2 linked regions of the Danio rerio genome follow. The protein of the gene in region 1 binds, or shares a complex with, the protein of each later gene. Links are inferred from orthologs where the notes say so. Each region holds a gene or a part of one and is shown in the gene's direction. Other genes may lie near its edges. The genes, in order: fzd4 and ndp.

Region 1 (4,496 bases):
TGAACAGTGCAGTGGCTTATTTGAAAAACACCTTGTCAAATAGTTATTTAAACTCATGAAGATAGCAGATGTCTATTGTTTATTTTAATTATTCAGCCATGTTTACTGTTGAAACATGTTTACTGCTTTAAAATATCTGAAATGTTTTTTTTTTAAATAAAATATATTGTGTTCAATGGGAAACAACTTGTTGTTTTTTACACAGACATTTAAATATAGACCATCACAATACCGTCATACTGTGAAAAACTGATATTTTTGTGCAAGGTTTTTATATCAGAATCTTATACCGGCCCATGCCTAATATATTTTTTCTGCTAAAAAATTTCTGCTATACCATTCCTAAGGTATGTGTACGATTTTTTATTTACGTTCTTTAAGTTTTTTTTTTGCTAAATATATCCAAAGATGCCGTTTTTAATAGTAAAAAAATGTTTTTAAAACTAACGAAGACAGGAGAAGGCAATGATTTATTTGAATTTTGAAAAAAAAAAAAATAAATAATATATATATATATATATATATATATACATATATATATATATATATATATATATATATATATATATATATATATATATATTTTTTTTTTTTTTTTTTTTTTTTTTTCCACTGCTCCAAAATATTATAAATGTTTCTCAAAATAAAATATATTGTGTTCAAAGAAAAAAGTTTTTGTTTTTACCCAGACATTTAAAAAGAATATATTTTAGATCAGTAACCACAATACTGCGAAACAGTAATATTTTTATCTAAGGTTATAGATAAAATTATTAGGCCCATGCCTAATAATAATAATAATATAATAATATATATATATATATATATATATATATATATATATATATATATATATATATATATATATATATATATATATATATATATATATATATATTCATTCTCTTTTCAGCTTCATCCCCACACAGCGGAATGAACTGCCAACTTATCCAGCACATGTTTTTTATGCAGCAACCCATTTGAACCTTAGAACATTTGAAATATATATATATATATATATATATATATATATATATATATATATATATATATATATATATATATATATATATATATATATATATAAAATGACATGCATATATTATTTTAATCAGTGTCATTATGGGTTTGTTTACTACTACTACTACTACTACATTTAGAGATTAATTTTAGTATTAATAAGTACAAACCATGTAACATGGCAGACAGACAATAGAGACTATAGTTCTATTGACTGTAATCAGTTATTACTGGGTTAATAAGCAATAATTTGTAAACATTCAAGAAACAATGAAGAATGTAAATCAAAAATTAAACCAATATGGAGTTGTTTTTAACTATCTATATACATTTTACCAACAAGGTGTGCAGGCTAGTCAACCTAAACTTACAACTCTCTCACTTTATCTGTTTTATTGTGCGGTGTTATTGTGGCCACGCTAAGCCCCGCCCCTGTCTTTGATGCGCGGCTGTGATTGGCTGACGCTGGTCCTGGGGCAGCTGTCCCGTCTCCGTCTAGACCTCAACCGGGCAGAACCCGCGCGACTGCGCCACGGACACACGGACGAGCTTCAAAACGACTGATACCCGTAGTAGACAGCGCTGTACGGTTTACTCCGGAACGGGACTAACGGGACACGGTGCCGTTTCGCACTTTAAACGGATTGGCTCGCTCTGGCACGGGATTGTGAGAAAGTTTTTTTGTCTATAGGCGCGTTTGAACTCCGGTAGGCTGGAATTTTAACGCTCCCGTGATTTGCTCGGACTTTTTATCAATCGGATTGTGTCGCTATGGCTCGGTTTGAGTTCGGGTTTGCGCTACTGGTGCTCGTGTTCGGGCTCGCGCACCCGTTCGGGGACGAGGAGGAGATGACCTGCGACCCGATCCGCATCTCCATGTGTCAGGATTTAGGCTACAATGTGACCAAGATGCCGAATCTGGTGGGAAACGTGCTACAATCCGACGCCGAGCTGCAACTGACCACATTTACACCCCTCATACAGTACGGCTGCTCGAGCCAGCTGAAGGTGAGAGATTACAACACACACACACACACACACTGTAACCAGACCCTACACACACACATCACACAGAAGTACTGCACTCAGCTTTCAAATCTTGGCTTCATAATGAAGCAACACTTCTAAAAGTATTATAAATCATCATAATTATGTAAAAAAGTAACAAATAAGATAAAATACTAGTAGTATTATTATTATTCGTAATCATTTTTGTTGTTATTATCAGTATTAATTGTATAATGGTCATAGAAAGAGTGTAGAAAAATGATTTATAATAGTAATAATTGTTTATACTATATTTACCCTTAAATAAAATGACAAAGTTGCAAAAATGTGTTTAATTTTATTTTATGTCTTATTGTTATGATGAACATTGTAGATTTATTTTTATGAAGTATTTGTGATGTGCAAATCTTATTAAAGTTATAGTAATATTAAAAAAAAAATATTTAAATCACTGTGCCAATAAAGTACTTACTTATAGTACAGTAGTTTGGATAAATAGGAACCTAATCTGTGCGCACAGCAGGAGTATAGAATCCACACTCACGCACACACACTATACTCTGCCTTACAGTGTTTGTCTCATTATACTTGTGATGATCAAATTTCAGTAATTGTCCTTAATAAATGCTAAAGAAAACCTCTAAAAACATACATCTATCTTCCTACATTGGTAAAAATTCTTCATAAGCATGCAAGACATAATATTTTAACCAAAGTGTTCATAAACATGCTTAATATATTTGAACTTAATTCTAAATATATCAAAAACTTACTGCGAACACACGTTAGGTATAATTCTAAGTTGATTATTCTGAAGACAGTATGATGTCCTCATCATAAGTGCGTGTGTATGTGTGTGTATGTATGTGTGTGTGTGTGAGCACTGAAGACAGAGGCAGTTGTTGTTTTATTGATTCAGCAGAGACAAAACCTCCCACTAGGATTCCCATGTTTGTTTGCTGGAGAATCTCGTGATTAAAGCAGCTTTAGATACCACAAACATCTTAAAGGGAGAGCACTTCTGTTCTTAGATCTTTAAAATGTCATGCTGGTGTATAAATGTGTTTTTAGTGCACGACGGAATAGGAAACTACTCGTGCAAGGAAATCCTTAAAGGGATAGTTCACCCAAAAAAAGTTAAATATTTTACTATTTGGTCTCCCTCAAGTTGTTCCAAATCTCTATGAGTTTCTTTCTTCTGTTGAACACAAAAGAAGATATTTTGAAGAATGTTGAAAACCTGTAATCATTGACTTCTATAGTAGAAAAAACAAATACTATGGAAGTCAATGGTTACTGGTTTCCTACATTCTTAAAAATTTCTTTTTTTATTGTTCAACAAATGAAATAAACTCAAACAGATTTGGAGCAAGTGAAAGGAGAACTTGCAGTTGAATTTCTCTACTTGCGCAGGGAAATCCTTAAAGGGATAGTTCACCCCAAATTAAAAATAACTCGCTATTTAGTCTCGTTTGAGTTGTTGCAAACATTTATGAGTTTCTTTCTTTTGTTAAACACAAAAGATGATATTTTGAAGAATGCTGGAAAGCCTGTAACCATTGACTTTCATTGTAGGACAAAGCAAATATTATGGAAGTCAATGGTTACCGGTTTCCAACGTTCTTCAAATTATCTTCTTGATTGTTCAACAAATGAAATAAAGTAAAACAGGTTTAGAACAAGTGAAAGGAGAAGAACTTTCAGTTGAATTTCTCTACTCATGCAAAGAAACCCTAAAGGGATAGTTCACCCAAAAAATAAAAATAACTCACTATTTGGTCTCCCTGAAATTGTTCCAAACCTTTAAGAGTTTCTTCTGTTGAACACAAAAGATGGTGTTTTGAAGAATGCTGAAAAGCCTGTAACCATTGACTTTCACTGTAGGACAAAACAAATACTATGGAAGTCAATGGTTACCTGTTTCCAACATTCTTCAAAATATCTTCTTTTGTGTTCAACAAATGAAATAAAAACAAGTGAGGTGAGAAGAACTTTCAGTTTTGGGTGAACTGCTACTTTAAAAGAAACCTTTCCCACCATGCTGATTTCCCCTTTAGAGCTTCCTAAAATGTGCAATACGTGAAATTAGGGCTTCATAATATTATAAAAGTCTAAATAAATTGAATAATAAATGTTATATAACATGGTAATCATTGTATATATTTGGGCTGCGCGATATTGAAACAATGTGACATTGCAATAATTTGTTTTACTGCATTATATACTGTGATATAAACGACTTTAATAGCTGTATTTGGACATAATTCATTACTTAGTGATGATTCTGGAAGGGATTGAATCATTTGCATAAAATGTATAAAAACTAATTAATTTCAGACATTGCTGAATACAGTGGGTTAACTAAAAAAAAAAGTGCTTTATAATTTTCTCAGGAGTTTCCTCTTCCTATAGTATTCAGCTACAGAAATCGACTAATGAAATGTAAAACAGCACTGAATAGTCTTCAT
Region 2 (4,605 bases), on another chromosome or scaffold:
ACAATCCCAGTAGATCAGCAGTTTCTGAAATACTCAGACCAGCCCATCTGGCACCAAAAACCATGCTGCAATCAAAGTAACTTAAATCACCATTTTTTTCCATTTGGATGCTTGGTTTAAACTGCCGCAGATCGACTTGAGCATGTCTACATGCCTAAATCTATTGAGTTGCTGCCACGTAATTGGCTAATTAGAAATCTTTGTTAATGAGCAGTTGGACAGGTGTACCCAATAAACTGGCCAGCGAGTAAATGAGTGTATAATATATATAAAAATCAAACTTGTGTCATTAATAACTCACCCTCATGTTGTTCCAATCTCTTAACACTTTGGATCATCTTTGGAACACAAGTTAATATATTTTAGATTAAAAACGATAGCTCCCTCATCCTCTATAGACAGCAAAGGTGCTGATTGCTGAAATGGTCAAAGTCCAGAAAAGGAACCAAGAACATTGTCTAAGAATTCCAATTTTGGTGCCTTTTCTGGAACTGTCACTGTCTATAGAGGATGAGGGACCCTTTAGAGTTCATCTTAATTTGTGTTTGGAAAATGAACAAAGGTCTCAGGGGATTGGTACAACACAAGGTTGTATAATTAATAACAGAATCTTCATTTTTGGGTGAACAACCCCTTTAAAGGCACTTAATTGAACAACTGATGCCAATAAAACTTGTATGTTAGTCATTATTTGCTGTTGTTTATTGAATATTCTGCATTTATTTCATGTGTTCATGAAAAGTATTTTTTTAATCAAAGTTCTCAGTATTATGGAAACAGCTGGATAAAAATCTGACAATGGGATATTTTAAAGGCACAAACCCTTAATTCGCTTTCGGATAAAGTCCATATCTTGAATTTTTTCCCCTTCTAGTGCCAATAGTTGCAGTAATTTAATTTCAACTGCCTTCTCAACGGTGATGTTTAAAGGACATTTTCTGGCCACAGAAGGACAAACTTTGGGAAAAACATTGGATTCTCTCCATCTCAGAGATGTGAAATAGTAATTATGCGCTCATTGGGAACTCATAATTGCACATCTGTTTTTTATTTTATATCCCAAGAATGCAGTTATGTGCTTTGCATTTGACTGGAATTTCTTCATATTTAACAATTTCAAAACCTGTGCTAAAGTATAAAGACGTGATTTAAAGACAGCTATCAAAGTGTCCCCCTTTGTAGTCGTTCTTATGCTACAGAAAATCATTTTCCCCGTTTTCTTCCAACATATAACTACATACTTCCAAATAGCTTCCAGCTGAATTGAGTTACACCTCCCAAGCCTCGCAGAAGACAGCAGAGAAACCCAGCAGACCAATTGTTTTTAAGTAAACTAACTCCGCTAACAGTTTTATAACCTGGACCTCGTAAAAGAGGGCCATACTTTTGGTCAGTCCTCTGATTTTGCTGGAATCCCCATTTGCTTGCTGGTGTGGCAGCTGGGGGCGAGTGTGTGTGTGTCCCTAAGGTGATATACGACTGCTGTGTCACGTTCCACATCTGACAACCATCCCAAGATGTACATCATCTATCCTTTTCCCTTTTCCATGTGATTCCTCAATAAAACAGGGGGTGTGAATGTCGAAGCGAAGGGGAGGGGAGATGAGAGGGAGGGGAAGAGTCAGAGCTCACACACAATCGGCATGCGGGAGAGAGAGAGTAAAAGGGAAACAGAGAAGAGAGCAAGTGGATGGGGGAGAGATCTAAAGGCAATTGTTGCTTAAGAAATTTCATTTCTGTCCTAGAGGAGCCAGCTGGGATTGGATATTGCAGGTTAAACGGAACCAGGCTGAAGGTAAGACCACCAGCGTTATAAAGGTGACCGGGCCATCAAAGTAACTTTTTACTGGCTGCAAGGTTATCACTATACATTTGCATTGTACTGTTTGTGTTATTTCAGCAGCACATTGATATACTAAATATGAAAACTCAATAATATGCATGTAGACAGCAGGAAATTCCTTCATCCTACTAAGACTTCTTTAAAAATCTCAAATCTTTTTTTGCTAGAATTGGCGATGAAATTCGGCTCATCCATCTACCTCACAATGCATGAGTCCAGTTTTACCTGATGCTTTTTTTTAATATGAACAACACATACATAGGGATTTTGCTCCAAGTGACTCATAGCCGAGGTAAAATTATATATGAGGAGGCTGTGGGAGGTCGGTTGCTAAGGTAAGCCTTCAGCTGCTTGTCTTGCACAGGCAGGGACTGAATACTCAATTTATTGCTATGCCAGAGGTCGTTAGCTGAGCTCCTCGGATGAGAAATCATAGATAATATGAGGACGAGGTGAGCAAGAACATACTGCTCCCCAGATGTTATGGCAATGTCAAGCAGCGCTGTGTATCAATTATTACTCACTCATAATTGATACTACGTAATAGTCCTTTGACGACTCTGCATGCTCCTTACAAAGAAATCAAGCATTAAAGCCTGAGGTATTTTCAGAAGATGACGACAGCCGTCAATTTGCACATCACATTCAAGCAGGAAGGTTAACAGGACAACATAACAGGGTCTCTAATTAATTTAACTGGAAACCCCGCCACGGCTTTACTGTGTGCAGACCCTTTCATCCTGTAGCATTCCAACCAGACCGACGCTTTTCTGAGAAGCTAAATGTAAAGCTAACATTAGTTTAGCATTGGCTCACATGGTGCCCCGGCTATTGGCAACAAGCTCCGTTCAAATCCGCTGTGTTTGTCTTATCTTTATCACTGGGGATATATTTAGTGTAGGGTTTAGCTGTGGAGACGCGGGTTACTGGCGTCGGCGTGTGGTGGCAGTGCCCCTGGCATGCTGCTTGGGTTGCAGATGGGCATGGGAGGAGGGTGCAGGGTGATCCCTGCAGGAATCTGCCCTTTGGTTTATTAAAAGCTGGTCAAACAATAGGGTGCTAAACAAGCAGAAAACAGTGACGTAACCCCATCACCGGAGGATGGGGTTTGGGCATGTCAATGTGACTGAGAAGACAATTCTGCTTATTGGCAAATACTAGGTGACCACACGCCTCACTCAACAACTGTAGACTCAGCTGCTGTCAGACACTTCTGATATCCTTATTAAAGTACTCCAGCAATCAAGGGACATTTGAGTGATTCAAATGTAACTCACCTCACCTTTTCTCTGTAACGAACTACGTTTACATGGACATCAGTAATCGAATAATTTGCCTTAATCTGAAAAAGACAATAATATGATTAAGGTGTTTACATGAGTTGATTTTTAAATGTTCCTTAATGATCCTATTTTATAACCCATGTTATATAGTACATAATTTGATTAAAGTCATTGTGTCACCACGCTCTCCACGTTTCCTCCGGAACTTCATGTAATTTCGAGTGTTTTAATTTCATTTCTTGACTTGAACTGCAGGTACTCACTTTCACATTCATTCAGGAACATTTCATTCATGCCCCCATGACAAACGAGATATAGGATGTGAGTATGACCTGATGGAAGACCATTGCTTTACTGGAATTTGATACCGCTCGCCGTATGGGGAAAAAAAGACTCAGCATTTCGTGATGCAGGTGCCTGTGATCATTCACCGACTCGGTAGGTGCAGAGAATAGTGTGAAACAGCCGTGCATGTATAGATTATCCAGTCACAAAAGGTGGCGAAAATTCTATATGACCATAATAGTTTGATTAGGGTGTTTACATGTCTGTATTGCACTTCAATGATGCGACTTCTGGTTATAGTTAGACTATAAGTTTAGTCAGATTAAGGTCATAAAAAATCGCTGTTTACAGGGTACACTCTTAATCAGACTATTGTCTTAATCACATTAAATGGATTAAATTGAATTATTGTTGTCCATGTAAACGTATTCACAGGCAATTCAGTTTTTTAATATACTGTTTTTAAAAAAACTAATTGAGTTTTAATTTTTCCTGTGGCATTTCTTGTTAAATTTTGTCAAAATTACTATCAATTTCTGATTTTTTTTTTTTTTTGGTTGGGGGGAGGGTAATTGACTGTTTCAGCTAATTACATTGCTAGACTAGTTGGTGGCGACCTTTTAGTGAGTCCCTGAGTCATTTACACAACCAATTTGTTTAAAAGCTGAATAAATAACAAATCTGCCATATATCACTTCCCTACTGTACGAGCCATGATTTAAACAACTTAAATGTATCCACAGAGTGCACCAATACATAAACAAAATGCAGATGTTAATGTTTAGTTAACATGTAAATTTAATAATCCTTCCCCATTTTTTGTTATGGTTTAGTCTGCTAATCACTGGACTAGTTTAAGTTATTGTTAATGAGGTCCCTTTGGAGAGAATTAAATGTGAAAGTAAGAAGGACAAAGTAACAGAGTTTATTGACTGGAGCCCAATTGAGCACAAACCTTAATCAATTATTTGTATGACTGATTCTAAAGATTACTGATAAAACACCTACTATATATAGTATTTAGAATGTGAAATAAGCATTGTTCGAACTCATAGCAGTAAAATGGTGGGCAATAGGTATTTTGATGGCCTACCACTAAATATCCAAAAAGTGAGGAGTTATATGTGAAAACTAGAGGTCTACTTATGTATTGGTCAATAATTTGTTTTAGCAGATCAATTAATTTTTCCAAAC

The links.
Region 2: the proteins of fzd4 (region 1) and ndp are in contact, whole or in part, in a crystal structure (PDB 5BQE), measured with the Homo sapiens proteins. The link is inferred for Danio rerio from reciprocal best matches to the Homo sapiens genes FZD4 and NDP. Residues at the interface, in NP_036325.2 of Homo sapiens: Ser51, Met52, Gln54, Asn55, Leu56, Gly57, Gln95, Phe96, Met105, Thr107, Lys109, Ile114, Asn152, His154, Met157, Cys158, Met159, Glu160, Gly161, Pro162; in NP_000257.1 of Homo sapiens: Asp33, Ser34, Pro36, Arg38, Met40, Arg41, His42, His43, Tyr44, Val45, Asp46, Lys58, Met59, Val60, Leu61, Lys102, Lys104, Leu106, Tyr122, Leu124, Ser125.

Annotation. Positions count from the first base shown.
Region 1 is NC_133190.1:48,064,714-48,069,209, forward strand, and holds the start of fzd4 (frizzled-4 precursor), read left to right. Parts: upstream 1-1,540; 5' UTR 1,541-1,791; coding exon 1,792-2,028; intron 2,029-4,496. UniProt on the Homo sapiens protein: Receptor for Wnt proteins.
Region 2 is NC_133184.1:35,437,202-35,441,806, reverse strand, and holds the start of ndp (norrin), read left to right. Parts: upstream 1-1,630; 5' UTR 1,631-1,690; coding exon 1,691-1,795; intron 1,796-4,605. UniProt on the Homo sapiens protein: Activates the canonical Wnt signaling pathway through FZD4 and LRP5 coreceptor.